Macaca mulatta: one gene and its partners. The protein of the gene in region 5 interacts with the protein of the main gene of each other region in a biochemical or structural test. Links are inferred from orthologs where the notes say so. Each region holds a gene or a part of one and is shown on either strand. Other genes may lie near its edges.

Region 1 (3,512 bases), on a different chromosome or scaffold from region 5:
TCTGCTCACAAATAGTGTATAGGCCATAACTAAATACAATTAAAAAAAAAAAATAAACGCTGAGATGCATGTATTTTTTTAAAGCAGCTTTCGAAATATCAACCACAGCATTAAACACTGAACAGAGTACATTCGAAAGTTAATACAGATAAATGATATATAATGCAATAATGCCACAGAGTTATTCCATCAATGTCTCAAGGCTGATTCTAAACTGGAAGAAAAAAACACAACAAACACTTTCTAGTTTATTTGCTGAAGATGTCACTTCTTTTGTTACTTCTTTATAGTTTCCCACCATTGATTGTTTTTAAGTGCCCCAGGATGTACAGATAATCCCCATATTCCACACCTGGAACTTTTCTTTTTTCTGTCAGGTTTTCAAATAAAACCAAACTACAGTGACAAGATAATGTTTTACATGTAATTCCATAGACATAGGTCAATTAATCCATGACACCTTACTTCAATGCTTCCTTTAGGATTTAAGACCCTCTCCAAAGTCATTTAAAGCCTTGCTTTAAACTGCACAGGTGGGCCACAGCCACACAGCCAACGTGCCATGTGCTATGGCCAAAATGGGCCATGGCCGTTGCCTCTCCTCACGTTCCCAGCCTTCACCGTGTCCCTCTGCTAGGAAGGGCCCAGGGCCTCTGTTCCTTCTCTCTACAGTGATACATGTCTTAAGAAGGGTTGTGGCTCCCATGCTCCACGTGAAAATGGGCCTATCTGGAGGGCCCCAGGGCGACAGGCCCAGCCGCACCCCTCTATTGCTCTTTCTTGACAGTGGAATTCTGAGCTCCGTCAGCTTCCAGACATTCGGAGACGACACTGCCCTGTTGATCATCCCTGGAGGAGGCCAGTGAGGGCCCAGGCTCAGTTTCAGGACCAGGCCTCCAAGCTGGGATGCAGGCAGGTTCTGCGGACTTCGGTCTCCTAAAAGCAGGCACTTGTGGCGGCCTGATGCTCTGGGTAACTCTAGCCTTCCTGATGCTGAAGTCACCGAAATGTTTACTTCCTCAAGTTCCAGAGGATTATGTTCCTACTCAGACAGAGCCAGTATTGGGATTTGGGGGGTGCGTATCCAAAATATAAGAATATACACAATCAGGGCTTAAGGTACTGGATGATACTGTATAAATTGCTAAAATGCTTCTCGGCACAATTGGTAGCTTAAAAAAATACTTTCCTATGATTTAAGGGCATTTTTCCCATCGCTGTCCTTCGGTGTGGAAATCTCAGTGGGTACCAGGTCCATCTGAAGTTCCCAAATCTTTTCCTCCCACCAGGAATGCGTCATGTGAGTCATATGCAAAGAGTCTCTTCTTCAGACCAGGGAGGCATGGACTTCCCCCCAGGAACCCTCCCTCTGTTAATATCACAGCCCCCAGGGCAAAGACATACAAGTGAATGAGCACCTTCTTCCCAGCCTCCAGCAGCCAGAAAGCCAGCTTCCCCAACGATCAGGTCCTTTTTCCATACATCTGCTCTTCAAATGGTGAGTTAGTCTGGCCAACAACACAGAAAGCGAATCTGTGTTTACAGGCACAGCACATCCAGGTGGAGCCGCACGAAGCGGTGCTTGGCAATTAGTGGTCGGATTTCCAAAGACAGGAGTTTTGATGGGACTGTCTTAAATAAATAAATCTTTTTTTCTTAATAATGTAAAAAATAAACGATATTTCCCTTTGGCAGTAAATAGCTGATTCGACATTTTGCCTGAAAATTGGTGTGTGTGTGTGTGTGTGTGTGTCTGTCTGTGTGTGTGTATGTTTATATGTGTGTTATTTTTTCTTAAACAGCCTGCAGCTTTGTTTCATGGTACATCATTGACAATGCATATCATTTCTACTGCTTTAGTGAACCTTTTGCATATTTGTTTGGGGCAGGCGTGTTGACTTCACTTGTGGCCCAGATAGGCACCCAGGGTGATGCAAGCTCCCACCAGGGCCAAACTGAGCAGAGTCTTCAGAGACAGCCAGGAGAAATCAAACAGAGGCCGCATGCTGGGGCCGTACAGTTCCACAAAGGCGTCCTGCAGTTGGGGTAGAGGAGGAAAGAAAAAGAAAGAGTATTAGAAAGAGAGCAGAGAATGCCACCCCACAGAGAAAAAGGTATCCTGCCAGGGCAGCCTGGGCACCTTCAGAAGGGCGAGAGGGGAAAAGGCAAACGCTCTTTGGAGGCCATGATTCAGAAACCACTGTTTTCATTAATTCAAGACATATTTATTGAGAACCTATTTACATGCCAGGCATCTTAGAGATACAGCAGTGCATAAAATAGACTAAAAGTTCCTACTTCACGAAGCTTCCATCTAGTGGAACAGTATAGACAGCAATGAATATAATTTATCACATGGTGTAGGAGAGAGTGCTAAGGGCCGAGGAGAAAAACAGCGGAGGCAGTTAGAAAATATTAGAGGTTCTGCAGTTTTAGCTAGCACGCCCATCCACAAAAGTAATAAAATGTAGCAGTGATGATGACTGTCACACTCCTTGATTGAGTGTTGACGTCTTATCAAATGTCTGACATACATTATTTTAATCTTCGTACCAAACTTTTTTTTTTTCTTTAAGAGCTAGAGTCTTGCTCTGTTGCCCAGGCTGCAGTGCAGTAGTGCAATCATGACCCACGGCAGTCTTGAACTGTTGGGCTCAAGAGCGATCCTCCTGCCTCTGCCTCCTGACTACCTAGGATTATAATGCTTGGCTAATTTTTAAAATTTTTTGTAGAGATGGGGTCTTACTATGCTTCCCAGGCTGGTCTTGAACTCCTGGGCTCCAGTGATTCTCCTGCCTCAGCCTCCCAAAGTTCTGGGATTAAAGTTGTGAGCTATCTCATCCAGCTAATTCTTTGTACCAATGTTACTAAGTTATTTTATTTGTTTCTGTCTGAAGATGAAAAAGCTGAGAATCACAGGGAATAAGAGACTTTTCTAACAAATGGCATAGCCAGGCTTTGAACCCAGATAGAAACCAGCACCCTTCTCTCTGCTGATGCCCTGGCATGGCTAACGGCAGCTCTGTGAGAGCATTTGGTCGACCGAGGGCTCAGGCGGTGGAGGGGCCAGGGCGGCCTCGACTGGTGCAGTGCCAGCCTCTAAGGTCAAGGTTCTCCCAGGGAAAGGGAGAGGGTTTCTCTTGGGGGTGGCTAGACTGAACGACCACACTCAAATTGTGGATCTCACAAGGCATGAGATCAGGGGTGTGTCACTGGACGTGCAGGTCCGAGAGACAAAGAGGGTGTCTCCCTTCCATTCCTATCTCTCCATCTCAAGTCAGGTCTGTAGTGTTGTAGCAGAGTCCACTCTCTGGATCAGCTTGGATTGGGCAAATCACTGGTTGATCATTTCCTAGATTTGGGGGAGATTATGTGTCACATTTGGGTCCAATGAGTATTTGGACAACTGAATATTTGAATATATACATCAGTAAAGGAATTCTTTTTAGTTCTGATTTATTCAGGTATGAAGAAAACAAGAATAGTTCCACATTATTCCCAACAACCCTGAC
Region 2 (3,512 bases), on a different chromosome or scaffold from region 5:
CGCCCTGGGAGAAGCATTCAGGCTGTTATTCTAGTCCAAAGCAATGAGAAATAAAGAAGAATAAAGAACAAAGGAAGTATTTAAGTGTATTCAGTTGTTATTAAAGATGAAGCAGAAAGCAAATTAAACCAATAGGACATAACCAAAAAGCCAAGAAAAGAAAAAGCAGTTCAAAAACACTAGCTTTGGGCACTTGGACATCTCCCTAAATACCTGCTTATTAAATCCTAGGACTCCACCCTTTTATTTCTAAATAAAATCACAAAAGTCTTCCAGAGAATCTGTAGTTCTCCATCACTGTTATTTTCTGTCCCACACCAAAATTAAACTCCTCTTTAAATATCTTAGGCACTCGTTCATTAAAAGCCTATTCAAATCTGATAATGGGAAGAGTTCAAATGTTAACATATTTTTCAGGAAATTTTAGTTCTCCACTTGAATGATATACCAACCAGACTATTCAGCCAGTCTAAAGATATTATGGATATAAAATAAACTGTAAAAGTCCAGAGACCTGAGAAAGTGTTGCAACATTCTTTGATCAGATTTGAAACCCAAAACTCTCTGAAATAAATATCACCCTCACCCCATTAATTGACTGACATTACCACCCCCAAGGGGCCCTATTACCTCAATCATCCTGCTGTCCACAGGCAGGGTGGTGCTGACCATGTGGACATTAGGTGTGGACGTCGACCTCTGCCTCTGGGAAAGGGAACCTTCAGATGAGGGACTGGAGGTGTTAAAGGTGAAGGCGTGAGGTGTAGAATACCTGTGCTGAGAACTAGGCAAGGAGGAGAAAGAAAATTCCATGATTGGCATTTAGGCTTTCATACTGGTGAAGTCTTTCAACTACCTACTTGATTAAGATGCTTAAGGGCAAACTCTACCTGTACAACCTTTGACACAATGTTTGATTCTTTCAAATATGTGACATCTAAAAATTATCTTAAGTCTGGGTGCTTTTGCATACAAAATTTGGAACAGGAAATAATATATGTATTGGGAATTCAATGAAAAAGAGAATGTATTGTAAGTTTTCTTTTTTTTAATAAAGCGCCACCCGAATACTCCAAATTTTCACATCTTCTCCGGGAAAGAATAGATTAACATTTGACAACCACACTACCACTTATTAAGCTAGTTGAAACGTGCCCAGTTTAATTTAGAGACTAAATTTGAGAACTTTAAGATTTTAAACAGATAAGTAGACGTGCTGAGCATGTCTGCAAAAAGGCCAGACGTTTTCATTATTTGTTCTAAAGATTAGTTTGAGGTTTGTTCAGATTCAGTTAACATCCATGTATGAATTAAAGGGATAAAAGGCCAGCTTTTCTAAGGGAAATTGTTCTATTGTCTTGAAAAAATGCCTTCCCACATAATTCTGTTTATGGCTTCAGAGGCCTGGTTTCTTCTAATCTTCAGAGGTAACTACAAACTCTTGGTCAGATCTGCTTTTCAAATTATCAAGAAAAATAAAAGTCATACACAAATATATATCCAGACATATGCAAATTCCTTATTCTGACATATGCTGCCTTTAATAATTTCCATAGTAGTTTCACATTAAACATTATCTGATTACACATTATGTGTGTGTGTGTGTGTGTGTGTGTGTGTGTGTATTTTTTGGAGACAGAGTCTTGCTCTGTCACCCAGGCTGGAGTGCAGTAGTGCCATCTCAGCTCACTGCCTACCAGGTTCAAGATTCTCCTGCTTCAGCCTCCCAAGTAGCTGGACCAAGAGGCGCATATCACCACATCCAGCCAGTTTTTTGTTATTTTTAGTAGAGATGGAGTTTCACCATGTTGGTTGGCCAGGCTAGTCTGGAACTCCTGACCTCAAGTGGTCCGCCCACCTCGGTCTCCCAAAGTGCTGGGATTACAGGCGTGAGCTACCATGCCTGGCCTAAAGTAAGATATTTTGGATGTAGATTTTACTTTAGGTTTCAAATTCATGTGTGTAACACTGAGCAATATGTGAACTGAACAAAACTGATTGTAAAGCTGGAAAACAGAGTAAAGACAAGTTATATGCAAACTCAGAGACACATTAGAAACAATATTTATGCTGAAAATATAACTAAATGTTTTTTAAAGACACTAGTCTATTTAAATACATGGTTTTAGCAAATGCAAGGCCATAACATGCATTTCAAAGTTAAGGGTTTTATTTTTATTGAATCACTGTATCAAGTTTTGGGACCCTTTCCATTGAGGTTGAACTCAGTACATACTGAGGAAAGTAGAATCTCAAGCTCTTTAAAATGTAATGACATATTAAGGAATATGCTACGATAACAGAAGAAACTATAGTCAAAGTCACTTTCCAGAATATAAGATCTACAGATCCATAAAGAGAAATTTCTACATTTTGCTGTACCACCAGTATCACATTCCACAGAAGCAGCAAGGGATTTCCACATAGAGAGGAGGGAATGTGAAGAAACTCTTATTTTTTGTCTTTGAGCTTCCAACCCCACCTCCCCCCCCCAATAACTTTCTAAAAGAAAAGCTATAGGTAAAAAAATTACCTAACAGGCATCCTGGAAACAGACTCTCGCATACGACGCATAGTCAAAGAAGGTAGTGCTGGGACTCCACTATCACCAATAGTGGAATTTGGAAACAATCTAAACAAAAGCAGGGAAAGACTGGTTTTTAGGCTTACAGTAATCTTACAGAGACAATCAGCGTGCCTTGCTTTTGCAAACTCAGAGCTACTAAAACTGAACTTTTCCCAGTCACATTTTCCTCAACTGTTTTACATTACCTAGAATAAAGGGAACAATTTCCAAATAACTGGGTTTGAATGATTATTGAATGTGAATAATACTGACCTGCCAATAAACATACGGGCTCCAGTGTGCTTTTTCTTTTTTATTTTCTTTTTTTTTGTTGAGATGGAGTCTCGCTCTGTTGCCCAGGTTGGAGTGCAGAGGAGCAATCTTGGCTTACTGCAGCCTCCGCCTCCTGGGTTCTCCTGCCTCAGCCTTCCAAGTAGCTGGGATTACAGGCACACACCACCACGCCCAGCTAATTTTTGTACTTTTAGTGGAGACAGGGTTTCACCATGTTGGCCAGTCTGGTCTCGAACTCCTGACCTCAGGTGATTCACCCGCCTCAGCCTCCCAAAGTGCTGGGATTACAGGCGTGAGCCACCACGCCCGGCCCAGTGTGCATTTCTAGGAAATACTGGTCCTATGTCTAGCTATATCAAAATAATGTTTTTCAAACTACAGTAGAACATTTTACAAACTATGTCACACAGAGCTTTTCTGGAAACATTCCATCTTGAAAATAGATAAAAAGACTAAAATAGGAGGAATAAATCACAGAAAAGTGAGTAATTAGGCACCTTCTTTCCATGAGCTGGGCACTTGTCAGCAAGCCTCATAAGAACAATGCAAGGAAGGTAATATCCCCTTTATTCAGACGCATGAACGAAAACTCAGTTGTGGTTATGGTTAATGACAATAGTGAGATTCTGACATACGTCTGTTAGACTCAGAA
Region 3 (4,006 bases), about 68 Mb from region 5:
CAAAGGCCCAACAAGGACACCTCCACAGGCAGGTAAAGGGTGGAAGGGAAGCATCCAGGAAGAAAACAGAACATGCAAAAGCGAAGATGAGAGTGGCAGGGGAGCCACAGAAAGTGAGGCTGCAAAGGCAGGCAGTGGTCTGATGCCTGAGAGTTTCTTATTCCATGTTAGTCTGAAATTTATCTTCAGAATATGAAGAGTCAGGGGTAGGGGGCATTGATGTGGTAAGGTTTTGTTTCACGGAAATCTTTCTGGATGCACAGTACCTTCCTTTGAGGCACTGCTTCCTTCAAACCTAGCACAGGGACTCAAAACATGCGCTTAGTAAATGTATATTGAATTGAACTGAACAAGCTTTTTACCAAATGCCCTCTTATGGATGAGGCAGGTCACCTTCCCTGCAGGACTCACTTTGGCCAAGAGAAGACTTGTAAAACAGGTCCAGCAGCCTCAATTATTGCACACTACTACCTGTACAACTGGAGTCCCCCAGAGATTAGGGCAGACCTTCATTGTTTACTTGTCTACCTCACCCATTAGACTTTGAGCTCTTTGAAGACAGGGAATATCTTAATAGACTGAATCCCCATAGCCTTAGCAAGAGGCCTGAAACATAGTAGCTCTCCAAACTCCAGTAATGTTGGATAAATGAATTGACTGAATTAGCAAATTCACCAAGGCAGACACATGAGTTCATGTAGTTAAGCGTATGGATAAACTTCAGGGAAAGTATGGGAAGTTTTCAGCGTCAATGTTCCCAAAACCCTTTTTGAAAGGCATAGTTGCTAGTTGGGGGGGGGGGGGTTCTACGCACGTGATTTAGAATTTTCCAAATAGGAACCAAAATGTTGTAAGTGCTGTGGTAGAAATCTCACCGGGCCAATGGGAAAAAGTCAGTTCTGTCTGAGAGGAGGGACAGGATGGAGGCCAGCAAAGATTTCACAGTGTGGGAATTCTTCAGTGGACTCTTGAAAGCTGAGTTGGTGCTTGCTACCTGCCCGTTTTGGGGCATAAAACCAAACTTCTGGAGCTTTTAAGGCTGGAAGTGACCTGCTCAAGGTCACACAAGAAGTAGATGAAGCCACAAGGTAAGAGATGAGGTATCTGTACTGATAATTCCTACTTTCTCCTGACAGAGTTGAAAGAGAACCCACAAATGTAGGAGGCAAAATTAAAGATTTTTCTCAAGAACAATTCTTAAAGTCAAGACTAACGAATTGAATTTTTATTAGTAACCACAGAACTAACCCTTCCCTTCACTGTTCAGTTTTTGTTAAGAGTAGAACAATTATCCAAGGGGTTTAAAAACCAAGGACGTTGCTCACAACCCACTACTTCTCAAGTATTCTTCCAAAACATTCCCAGTAATGTGTATTGTTGAAATAGGATAGCGAAGACTACAACAATCATGTCTTTTCAAATGGATTAATGAACATAAAATAACTATAAATCTCCTTTCCCGGTTGTTTTTCACTTCCCAAGTTACAGAATATTCCGCGGTGGGGGAGGGGCTGCGTAAGTCAAGTCCTACCAGCCCTTATTTTTCAGGGAGTAAAACCCTAAAGGTGACTGTCCAAGCCTAGAAGGGGTCATTTATTCCATGCAGAAGGAACTGGGGCGCCGCTTTGCTGTGCCTCCTCGTAGTGGGACAGGGTGAGCTCTGCAGGACTGCAAAGTTCGGAAGGGACTCGGTCCCGGACCGGTACCCGTGGGGGCTCCCGGCCCCAGCCTGGCCTGGCCCCGCCCCGCCCCTTCCCTCTCCCGGGTCTCTCGATCGCCCGGCGTCTGAGACCCGCGACCCCGCCGGTGAGCGCACGGGGGGCCTTTGTTGGCCCGACGGGAGCGGGCCTCGCTGGGCGACGCCCGCCTCACCTTACCTGGAGCCTCCGCCGGCCCAAGCGCCCGGCCCCGCCACGCGAGATAAATGGGCCCAGACCCCTACTCCACCCGTCCGCACCCCCGCGCCCCAACCCTGGCAGCCCGGGACGCGAGGGGTACCGGGCGGGAGGCCCGCTCTCACCTTCCGCGCTCGCTCAGCTCCTCTCGGCTCCTCCTCCTCCTCCCGATGGTGGGTGCCGCCGAGCCGGGAGTGAGGGCGCGAGTGTGTGCGAGCTACCGCTTCACTTTCTCCCTCCTGCCGCCGCCGCGCCGCCAGTGCCGGGGATCCCCTCAGGACAGGGGAACTGCGAGGGAAGGGATGATGGGGGGGCGGCAGGGAGCGAGGCGACGCGGGGCGGGGGCAACGGTGGGGGGCTGAGGGGCGAGGTGCGAAGAGCTCGGATGGCCTCTGAGGCAGGAGATGGGAACTGGATGCGGAGACCAGGTTCTTCGAGGGGGCTCACGAGAGCGCGGGGCTCCGTGAAAAAGGGAATAAGAGTCCGAGGGGGAAAGCGTCTATGGAGGAGGACGGCGGAGCCTGCGAGGGAGGCGCAATAGGCGAACGAGGGGGCGGGAGCGTGTGGGGGAAGCCGTGAGGGGGCGTCTACTGTGCAGCCGCCACCTTCGGCTCCGGCTGCAGCCGCGGCAGGGCCGCCTCCCCCGCCTACAACTGCGCTATTGTACGCCGCTCGGCGGGCCTGACCGCCTAGTTCACTGGCTCCCCTCCTCCTCCTTCTTCCCCCTTACCCCCGCCCTTTCCCCCTTCCCTCCCCCCCGGCCTTTCCCCCTCCCCGGCGCGGCGGTGGCTCCGGCGGAGCCGTGCCCGCCCCGCCTCCCGCAGGTGGGAGGGGGCGGGGAGCGCCTGACCGACCCGTAGGAGCGAGGCCAAACCCTGGCCTGCAGAAGGGCGAACGCCTGGGATTGCGTCATCGGCGCGTGACGCCAGAGGCTGGGGAATCACCCGGCTGCTGCGTGACGTCATCGCGTCGCGTCACTCTTCTCGGTCCGCTGTCCTTGGCCGGCAGTTTCCGTGCAGCATTTCTACCAGACAATTTTGGGACTATTTCTGGGAGGGCTAATGGTGTAGCCAGGATGGAGAAAGACGGCTAACTTCCGTGGCTGAGGATCCTCTTCAGGTTAACGAAGCACCACCGCATCTATAAACTCGTTGTCAAGGGCTGAAGTTGAAAACTCTCCGACGTTGTGTGATCGCAGAGCCAGACGTGTATTATGTTTTCTTTGTGTGGGAGGTGGGAGAGGGGACGGGGATGGGAGGAAGACAAAGAAATTATAACGGAGAAGTTTGAACTACTGTGAACTGATATAGGATTGTGAATTGATATAAACAAGAGTTAAGTTCCTGTGGCATATTTCTGGTCACAAGACATCACCAAACTTCTAAAGAACAAAACACCTCTAATATCAAACATTGACATCAATGTGACTTATACATACATTTAAGAAAGATTAATAAAAAGAGGCCAGACCAGGTGCCTTGGCTCACGCCTGTAATCCCAGCACTTTGGGAGGCCAAAGTGGGCAGATCGCTTGAGCCTAGGAGTTTGAGACCAGCCAAGGTAACATGACAAAACCCCATCTCTACAGAAAAATAAAACCCAAATACAAAACATTAGCCAGGCATGGCAGCACACACCTGTAGTCCCAGCTACCCAGGAGGCTAAGGTGGGAGGATCACTTAAGCCCGGGAGGTCAAGGCTACAGTAAGCCATGACCACACGTCTTTGCACTTCAGTCTGGGCGACAGAGTGAGACCTTGTTTCAAAAACAAAACAAAAAACAAAAGCCTGGGCACAGTGATTCATGCCTGTAATCCCAGCAATTTGGGAGACCAAGGCAGAAGATCACTTAAGCTGAGGAGGTCGAGGTTGAAGTGAGCTGTGATCATGCCACTGCACTCCAGGCCAGGAAACAGAGTGAGTGGAATAAACAGAGTGAGTGGAATAAATAAGTAAGATAAGTGTCTCAAAATAAACAAGATCATTATTTACCCAATTTTTCCAGTTCAGGGTTGAGAGTGGCTAGAGCCTATCCCAGCAGCTCAAGGTGCAAGGCAGGAACCAACCATGTATAGAATGCTACACTATTCCAGGGTGCACTCACATGCACA
Region 4 (4,035 bases), on a different chromosome or scaffold from region 5:
TATTTTTAGTAGAGATGCGGTTTTGCCATGTTGGTCAGGCTGGTCTCAAACTCCTGGCCTCAAGTGATCCACCCGCCTTGGCCTCCGAAAGTGTTGGGATTACAGGTGTGAGCCACCAAACCCAGCTAGTTGTTACTATTATTGCTGCAGAAAAGACCTTACTTCTCAAGTGACCATAAGGGCAGATGGTAATACAGAGGCTTGGTTTGGAGGTAGAAGCAAAGGGTACTAGCAGAAGAGGAGAACTGGGTCGCCTCTTTCTGGCCTTTGGTTGGGTTGCTTTTTAAATGGAGCTGAAGAAAGTGCCAGATCCAAGAGCCCAGGGGGCTGGCTGTGAGTGCTCTCATGTGGATCAGCTGTGGTCAGATTGCTTCACACCTGTGACCCGCCCTGTATAAATATACTGCCATGTATAAATAATGGCCCCATGTATATGTAATCTGGAAGGATAAACATCAAGCTTAACAATGGCAACCTGCAGGGAGGGAAGTGGAATTGGGTGTGTATGTGTGTGTGTGTTTGAGAACCTGTATTTTATTACTCCATACCTCTTTATTGTTTGATTTTTTTCACAATGAGAATTAGTTCCTGTGTTGGGTAAAAAAAAAAGAAAAGAAAGAAAGAAAAAAAACCACTAAAATCAATCTGATTACAAAAGAAGATGAATTAAAGAAAAGTACCGGAAGAAACTGCTTGTGATCCAAGTCCTGGCTCCTTGATGCCTGGCTGAAGCCCAGCCCACAAAGACAACACTGGGTTAAAGGTCCTGGAGAAAAGATGGGAAAGGTTTGGTGTCTGTGTAGTGTCTGCTAGTCCCAAAAGGGTAAGGCACCTAGTAGACGGTTCCCAGCTTAATGGGAACTGCTCCTGTTTTCCAGGCACACAATTCAGGGCTGGAAAAGTTCAACAAGTGCATGGAACATCGGAAACCTCCTGGAAATGCTAAATTTGCCCCAAGATGTCCTGAAGTCCGGCATATTTCTCTGGGCAGCCTCGAGGCTCAGGAGCCCAGCCCAGCCCAGCCCACCGTGCCCTCTCAGGCAGCCCTTCACTGCCTTCAGCAGCCCTCCCTCTTCCTGAGTAGTGGCCCTTCGCAGGCCTGCGTCCCAGCCCCGCCCCTCTCTCTGGACGCATCTTTGGGCCCCATCATCACCCGGCGCCGGGCCCTCCCTCTGCCCCCCCTTTCTCCTCCCTCCTTCCTTCCCTCCCTTCCTCCCTCTCTCCCTCCCTCCCAGCTCCTGCACCAGGAAACGGCCCGGATCCCGGCAGCGGCCTGACCCGTGAGATCCCTAACCTGGCAGGCGGGCGGGGTTGGAGACTGGCTGAGGTGGGGGTAAGGGAGGAGTTGGGCCTTTGGGCTGCACTAGGGGGAACCGCGAATACAGATGGTGTCGGCAGGAAGCCCTTGGCCCTGGGTTTCCCGGGAGGACAGTCATTAAACATGGATTCGGCCACACAGCTGGTAGAGCGTTGGGGGCAGGGGCCCAGGCCCAGAGCTGCAACCCTAGCCGTTCCCAGGCCAGAACCTGATCCCTGGCCTTCCCCTCCTGGTTCTGATCTCCCCCTCCCCTTTCCAGAGCTCCACGCTGGCCGGGAGGATGAAAGGCCCCAGCTGGGGGCTCCTTGCCACCAGTGCTGTGTCTTAAGAGCTGCCATCCCGGCTGGGTGAGTGTCTCCTTCCTTTCTCTGTCTGGAGTAAACCATTGCGTCTCCCACCTTTCTCTTCGGCCCATCTGCTCCCCCTCATCTTGTGCCTCTGCCAACATCTTTATATCTTGCATTTGGGGAGGTCCTAAGCCCCTTCCTCTAGCCAAGGAGGTGTGGACTAAGGAGGCCCAGGGGTGGGAGGGTTGTAGGGGTGTCACAGAGCTGACGTTGTCTTATTATGAAAAGAATCTAAAGTATCTCTAAACAGAAAATGTACTTGTTTTAAATGTAATTTGGCATATTAGGAATGTAATGGCCAGCCCCTCACAGCCTGGTCTCATATCATGACTTAATTCCCTTGTTCTTGCCTCTCCCTGTCCAGTGAGCTCTGAGCATTTCTTCTCTCCTCCTCATCTCACTGGGTTGGTCAAACCAGAAATGCCCCTTCTGATTCTCTCTCCATATATTCATGCCAGTGTTTCATCCTTGCCTCTTATAGCTGCCCGGATGGCGACCCCAGCCTCGGCCCCAGACACACGGGCTCTGGTGGCAGACTTTGTAGGTTATAAGCTGAGGCAGAAGGGTTATGTCTGTGGAGCTGGCCCCGGGGAGGGCCCAGCAGCTGACCCGCTGCACCAAGCCATGCGGGCAGCTGGAGATGAGTTCGAGACCCGCTTCCGGCGCACCTTCTCTGATCTGGCGGCTCAGCTGCATGTGACCCCAGGCTCAGCACAGCAACGCTTCACCCAGGTCTCCGATGAACTTTTCCAAGGGGGCCCCAACTGGGGCCGCCTTGTAGCCTTCTTTGTCTTTGGGGCTGCACTGTGTGCTGAGAGTGTCAACAAGGAGATGGAACCACTGGTGGGACAAGTGCAGGAGTGGATGGTGGCCTACCTGGAGACGCGGCTGGCTGACTGGATCCACAGCAGTGGGGGCTGGGTAAGAAGCTTCTCAATTGCCGCTCTGCACATCCCTCTGCAAAGCTGGTTTCCAGGGGGAAGATGGGAGCTCTGATTGGAGACTGAGGCAGCTATGTTGGGAATGAGGTGCGGGGCTGAGTCTCCCCGTCTGGGTGGAATCAGATTGAGAGATGCCTGGACTCTGCACTCCAGGGCTGCCATGCAGTCAACACTGGATGGGCTCATGGTCCCAAGCAGAGGACAGAATCCACACCCAAGGAGTGCCTGCAGGGGAATGTTGTCAGGGACTTTTTGCACCTGAGTCATGGTGTGGGAGGTGGGGAGGACCAGGGATGGGTGGTGGTCAGGCAAGCCTTGGCAAAGGATGCTAGTTCTGAGCAGAATTTTTCGCCAAGGAAAGGATGGAATTCACTGGAGGCAGAGTGGGCGGCAAATGAACCAGTCTCTCAGGGTGGGGGTGCACCTGGGGGGATCAGAGGGGCTTGCAGCCAGAAGAGCTTTGACCAGAGAGGAGCTGGGTATGGGGTAGTGTTGGCAGTGGATGGAACTGGAACTCTTCCTCTCCTCTTCTGTCCACTCTTTCCTCTCCTGATATCCCTTTCTCCTTCTTTCTCTCCTACTTCCCTTCTCTCCCACAGGCGGAGTTCACAGCTCTATACGGGGACGGGGCCCTGGAGGAGGCGCGGCGTCTGCGGGAGGGGAACTGGGCATCAGTGAGGACAGTGCTGACGGGGGCCGTGGCACTGGGGGCCCTGGTAACTGTAGGGGCCTTTTTTGCTAGCAAGTGAAAGTCCAGGGCCAGGTGGGGCTAGGTGTGGCTGGGGGCCAGGAGAGCAGGAACAGAACAGAGAAATGCCCTTGGAAGAAATGGAGTTGGTGGATGGGTGGGCATGGAACAGGATGGGCAGGGGAAGGGTAGTGTGTGAGGCAGCTGAGTAGGCCAGGTAGGCGATTGGAAGAGTGAGCAGGACACATAGGTGAGGGAAATGTTTTGGCAAGTTTAGGGACGCAGGAGATGGAGTCGATCCAGGGCTGGGGGATGTGGGAGGGATCACACCTATAGGTGTGGGCACATGAAATGACCTGGAACTTGGTTTGCAGCCCTGAGGAAGGTGGACTTGCATAAGCAGTTGTATTCCATTAGATGAGTGGGATTTGGGGAACGCAGAAGGCACATCCTTTTGGAATGGAAGCTTGGGGGTTCTCAGGTGATAGGGAGAGGTGGCTGTAACAGTGGGCTGCTTGGACACACGTGTGCATGTGCACGCATGCTGGTGTGCATGCTGGGCTGCCTGGCAAATCTGGTGGTGGTGGGATTCCTCAAGGAGAAAACATTCCCTCTTGCAATGGCAAGAACTAGGGGCAGTTCTCTGTCCCTCCTCCCAACCCCTCCTTTCCCCTGCCCTTGTCCTGATGCCTCAAGGCTTAGAGAGAAACATTGTATCCAGACCGAGGGCTCTGCTGCTTC
Region 5 (4,238 bases):
GTTGGCCAGGCTGGTCTCCATGTCTTGACCTTGTGATCCGCTTGCCTCAGCCTCCCAAAGTGTTGAAATTACAGGTGTAAGCCTCCGTGCCCAGCTTCTTTTAACTCTTACATGCTGCCCCCATACAAATCTTCTCATCCATGATAGGATGCACTTTTGTGCTTGTTTGCTTATGGACCCACCACGTCACTAGAACGTAAGCTCCACGAGGGCAAGGATTCCTGATGCTTGGGTTCACCGAGGTCCCCCTAGCAACTGGAACAACCTGTGTCACATGGTGAACACTCACTCTGAGACACAAGTCAATGCTGAGTGTGTGTGGCGGGGGGCAGAAAGCAGGGGGAGTTTGTGAGCAGAAAAACAGCCAAGTGCAAGCTCAGAAAGTTAAAGAAAGCTGTGGAGGCCGAGCATGGTGGCTCACGCCAGTAATCCCAACACTCTGGGAGGCCAAGATGAGAGGATCGCTTGGGCCCAGGAATTCGAGACCAGGCTGGGCAACAAAGCAAGACCCCACCTCTACAAAAAATAAAAAATGAGCTGGTGTGGCAGCATGTACCTGTGGTCCCAGCTGTTCTGGAGGCTGAGGCAGGAGGATTGTTTGAGCCCAGGAGTTTGAGACCTGCCTGGGCAACAAAAGGAGACCCGCCCCTGCCCTCGTCTCTAATGAAAACATGAAAAATGTCGGGCGTGGTGGCTCACGCCTGTAATTCCAACACCTTGGGAGGCCGAGGCGGGCGGATCACAAGGTCAGGAGATAGAGACCACCCTGGCTAACATGGTGAAACCCTATGTCTACTAAAAATACAAAAAATTAGCCGGGCATGGTGACACATGCCTGTAGTCCCAGCTACCTGAAAGACTGAGGCAGGAGAATTGCTGGAACCCAGGAGGCGGAGGTTGCAGTGAGCTGAGATTGCACCACTGCACTCCAGCCTGGGTGGCAGAGTGAGACTCTGTCTCAGAAAAAAAAAAAAAAGAAAAAGTTAAAAATAAATTAACTAGGTGTAGTCCACACACCTGTATTCCCAGTTACTTGGGAGGGTAAGGTGGGAGGATCGCTTAAGCCCAGAAGTTCTAGGCTGCAGTGAGCTGAGGTCACACCTCTGTACTCCACACCTCTGTACTCCCTCCTAGGTGATAGAGCGAGACCCTGTCTCAAAACAAACAAAACAACAACAACAAAAAAAGAAAGCAAGCTATGGGATCCAATCTGAGAGAATTGAGTGTGTGTGTTTGTGCGTAAGAGAGGGAGGGGAGGCCTCTTAAGCCTTCTTAATCCTGAAAATGGGAAGGAGGTCGTTTAAGCTTCAGTGCCAGAGTGACATGACCTAGTTTTCTATTTTTAGAGATGGGGTCTGGCTATGTTGCCCAGGTTGGTCTTGAATTCCTGGGCTCAAGCCAGCCTCCTGAGCTGCTGGGACTACAGACATGGGCCACCCCACCTGGCTTGACCTGGTTTTTGTGTTCAGAAGATATATGTTGTTGTTCCAGGTGCCAAGGCCAGTGCTGGGCACAGGGGTGGTGGAGCCTACTGAGAAATGGACACTGAACCCCAGTGTCTATCCTTCCATCTTGGAGCCTGTGCTTCCCACCCCACACAGCCCTGCTGTCTGGGAGGACCGTCTGCCCCTTGAGGTCACCTGCCCCTGGCCTTTGTGCCAGGACAGGCCTGCTGTGGGCGCAAGCCTCGGGGCAAGAAAGAACACATCTGGGAGCTGGAAGGCCCAATCCCAGGGAAAGCATGTAGCCTGGGGCAGGGCACCAAGGAGTCTTCCAGCCCCCACCTTCTAAGGAAAGAAATGCCAGGCAGGTATGGCCTTAGGTAGGCCCCTTTTCCTTTTCGGATCACTGCCTGCCTGCCTGTCACTAATTTCTGTCCTGGCCCCACACTAATAGCTGCCATATATATATATACATATTTTAAGAGATGGAGTCTCCCTAAGTCACCCAGGCTGGCTTTGAACTTCTGGGCTCAAGCGATCCTCCTGCCTTGGCCTCCCAAAGTGCTGGGATTACAGGTGTGATCCGTCATGCCTGGCAGCTACCATTTTTTAGCTTTAATGTGCACCAGCTCTGTAATCAAGTGCATCCTATATGTTCCTGCTAATTAACTCAACAGTCCTACAATGGTGGTTATTAATTGCTCTGTTTTACAAAAGAGGAAACTGGGGCTCTGAGAGGTTAGGGACCGACCCAAAGCCTTCAGTGCCCGTGGATACAACTGGGATGCAGGGAGCCAGTGGGCTGGGGGTGAGGTGACCCGGCAGGTGGAGGTGGTGGGGTACTTACCTCCATGATGGCTGCTGCTGGTTGGCTGCTCCTGCTGGTGACTGGCGTCCCACAGGAGGCCTGGGGCCTGGCGATGATGCTTGCCGGAGTCTGAGGGCCTGTCCCCCGCGGGGCTGGGGCCCAGGCCCCTCTCTGCAGAGCTGGAGTCTTCCTGCTCACTAGGCTCAAACTCTGGGATCTGGAACATGCTCTGGGCTATGAGGACAAGATGTTAGGTAGTCAAGGCACAGCTGGGGCCAACGGTGGCCCTGGAAGGCAGAGGTAGGTACCCTTGGCTCCCTCTCCCACCCTAGGGCCCCCAGGCCCGCCAGGCCTCCCGGGCCCTCATTTGTCTGCTGGGTCTGGCCTGGCAGGGAGCTGATGCTGTCGGCTCAGGGCCTCAATCTCCCCTCAGAACCCTGGTGGACCCAGGCCCCTACCCAGGCCCCGCCCCGCCCGTGGTGACGGCGCACAGGTCTCACCCCAAGCCCGATCTCGAGGCCCCTGACCCGGGCCTGCCGCCTCCCTCCTGCACCCCGGGCTCCCGGCCCTAGTTGCTTGGGCAACGGGAACTGTCAGCGACCTGGCCCAATCACCTCTCGGAACGTCACTCGGGTAGGTCCAGAGGCGGGGTCAACCCGGCCCGGCCCCGCCCCCCCGCCGGACCTACGGCTACTCGCCCGCAGCCTTTTTTCTCCCTCCTGCAGCCCTGGTGCTCACATCCTCGCTGCCTCACACCTTGGACGTGTGTGGGAGCAGGAGAGGGATTCTCTGGGGTCCCCATTTGGAACCTGGAGACCCACTTCTGCCAACAAGTCCTTCAGCCCCTCTGGACCTTAGTTTCCCCCCAGTGAAGTGGGGATAGTGACAGCTCCCCCAGGAGCCAGTGAAAACTTTGTGAAGGGAGTGATTACTGCGGGCGAAGGCGCTTGGCACAGCCACAACTGAAGCTCAGCCGTCGGATGCGATTATTGTTGCTATTGTTACCGCTCCGCCTGGACTGGGTGCCCGGTCGGAAAGTCCCGCTCCCCGCTCCTCCTCCCAGGCGTGGAAGCTTCGCGCCGCCCGCCTCGGGGGACACCTCCCGCGCCACCTCGGGGGCACTGGAGATAAGGAGAGGAACCTCCTCCCTGGCTGGGATGGCTGCCCGGGCGCGGGAGGAGGGCCGGGGACCCGGTGAGGGTGGACCGTAGGGTCCGTGGGGGCTTCAGGCCTGGCAGGCGGCCGGCCAGGTGAGCAGGGCCGCGGGCGCGCCGGGGCGGGGGGCGGGCCCGCGCTGGGGATTCGGGGCTCCGCGGGTTCAGGCCCGGGGGCGGGGCCCGGGGGCCATCTTGGCTATGGGCGGAAGTTTTCTTCAGAGGCCGAGGGACGGGAATCCGTTGCCGCCCCCGGCTGGGTGGTACGACCCCGATTTGGGTATAGGAGAGAGGAGCGTGGGAATTGCCGGCCCCCCATACAAGTTAAGGCGGACCGCCCAGGCACAGCCCACCCGGGGACCCCCTGGATGCGGCACGGCCCCCGCAATTCGGCCGCCCTCCAGCCGCCTCCCGTAACCCCGGGCGCCCGCCAGCGGCGCAGCTCGCGCCAATTCTCGTACGGTTTCACGCCGGGTGCGGCGCTGGACTGCGGAGCCGGTCGGGCCCCTGCGCAATTTGCGTAGCGAACAGCGCCCGCGCAGGCGCAGGAGGGGGCGGAGCAGCGGGAGCCGGGGAGCCGGAGCCCCGGGTCCCCACGACCTGAGCCGGCTCTCCCATCAGCGGCCTGAGGACCTGGCATCCGCCTCCTCCCGCCCCTTGAGGCTGGAGAGTGGACGCGGTGGGGGGGGTGGGGCGGGGGGCAGCTTTCGAGAATTACAAGGACAGAAGGCAGAGGCCCTCCCCATCCGCATTACTGGAGGAGAGCCTCCCCCAGCTTGGGGAGGGGGAGAGCGGGGCATTGGGCGCCCCCTGCAGCGGCCGCTGCCCTGACCC

Evidence for each region.
Region 1: the proteins of BAD (region 5) and BCL2 form a complex in vitro, tested with the Homo sapiens proteins (5 studies listed by BioGRID and IntAct, with this or other methods). The link is inferred for Macaca mulatta from reciprocal best matches to the Homo sapiens genes BAD and BCL2.
Region 2: of the proteins of BAD (region 5) and RAF1, one has a biochemical effect on the other in vitro, tested with the Homo sapiens proteins (2 studies listed by BioGRID). The link is inferred for Macaca mulatta from reciprocal best matches to the Homo sapiens genes BAD and RAF1.
Region 3: of the proteins of BAD (region 5) and PAK1, one has a biochemical effect on the other in vitro, tested with the Homo sapiens proteins (3 studies listed by BioGRID). The link is inferred for Macaca mulatta from reciprocal best matches to the Homo sapiens genes BAD and PAK1.
Region 4: the proteins of BAD (region 5) and BCL2L2 interact in a biophysical measurement, tested with the Homo sapiens proteins (4 studies listed by BioGRID and IntAct, with this or other methods). The link is inferred for Macaca mulatta from reciprocal best matches to the Homo sapiens genes BAD and BCL2L2.

Annotation. Positions count from the first base shown.
Region 1 is NC_133423.1:17,764,148-17,767,659, reverse strand, and holds part of BCL2 (apoptosis regulator Bcl-2), read right to left. Parts: intron 2,036-3,512; coding exon 1,901-2,035; 3' UTR 1-1,900. UniProt on the Homo sapiens protein: Suppresses apoptosis in a variety of cell systems including factor-dependent lymphohematopoietic and neural cells. Regulates cell death by controlling the mitochondrial membrane permeability. Appears to function in a feedback loop system with caspases.
Region 2 is NC_133407.1:151,425,528-151,429,039, forward strand, and holds part of RAF1 (RAF proto-oncogene serine/threonine-protein kinase), read right to left. Parts: intron 2,633-3,512; coding exon 2,534-2,632; intron 785-2,533; coding exon 631-784; coding exon of another isoform or gene 612-630; intron 31-611; coding exon of another isoform or gene 1-30. UniProt on the Homo sapiens protein: Serine/threonine-protein kinase that acts as a regulatory link between the membrane-associated Ras GTPases and the MAPK/ERK cascade, and this critical regulatory link functions as a switch determining cell fate decisions including proliferation, differentiation, apoptosis, survival and oncogenic transformation.
Region 3 is NC_133419.1:77,888,558-77,892,563, forward strand, and holds the start of PAK1 (serine/threonine-protein kinase PAK 1), read right to left. Parts: upstream 2,807-4,006; 5' UTR 2,750-2,806; intron 2,682-2,749; exon of another isoform or gene 2,184-2,681; 5' UTR 2,021-2,183; exon of another isoform or gene 1,878-2,020; intron 1-1,877. UniProt on the Homo sapiens protein: Protein kinase involved in intracellular signaling pathways downstream of integrins and receptor-type kinases that plays an important role in cytoskeleton dynamics, in cell adhesion, migration, proliferation, apoptosis, mitosis, and in vesicle-mediated transport processes.
Region 4 is NC_133412.1:96,406,140-96,410,174, forward strand, and holds the start of BCL2L2 (bcl-2-like protein 2), read left to right. Parts: upstream 1-1,228; 5' UTR 1,229-1,462; intron 1,463-1,577; 5' UTR 1,578-1,665; intron 1,666-2,146; 5' UTR 2,147-2,154; coding exon 2,155-2,586; intron 2,587-3,205; coding exon 3,206-3,355; 3' UTR 3,356-4,035. UniProt on the Homo sapiens protein: Promotes cell survival. Blocks dexamethasone-induced apoptosis. Mediates survival of postmitotic Sertoli cells by suppressing death-promoting activity of BAX.
Region 5 is NC_133419.1:10,113,544-10,117,781, reverse strand, and holds the start of BAD (bcl2-associated agonist of cell death), read right to left. Parts: upstream 2,809-4,238; 5' UTR 2,751-2,808; intron 2,485-2,750; 5' UTR 2,477-2,484; coding exon 2,290-2,476; coding exon of another isoform or gene 2,286-2,289; intron 1-2,285. UniProt on the Homo sapiens protein: Promotes cell death. Successfully competes for the binding to Bcl-X(L), Bcl-2 and Bcl-W, thereby affecting the level of heterodimerization of these proteins with BAX. Can reverse the death repressor activity of Bcl-X(L), but not that of Bcl-2.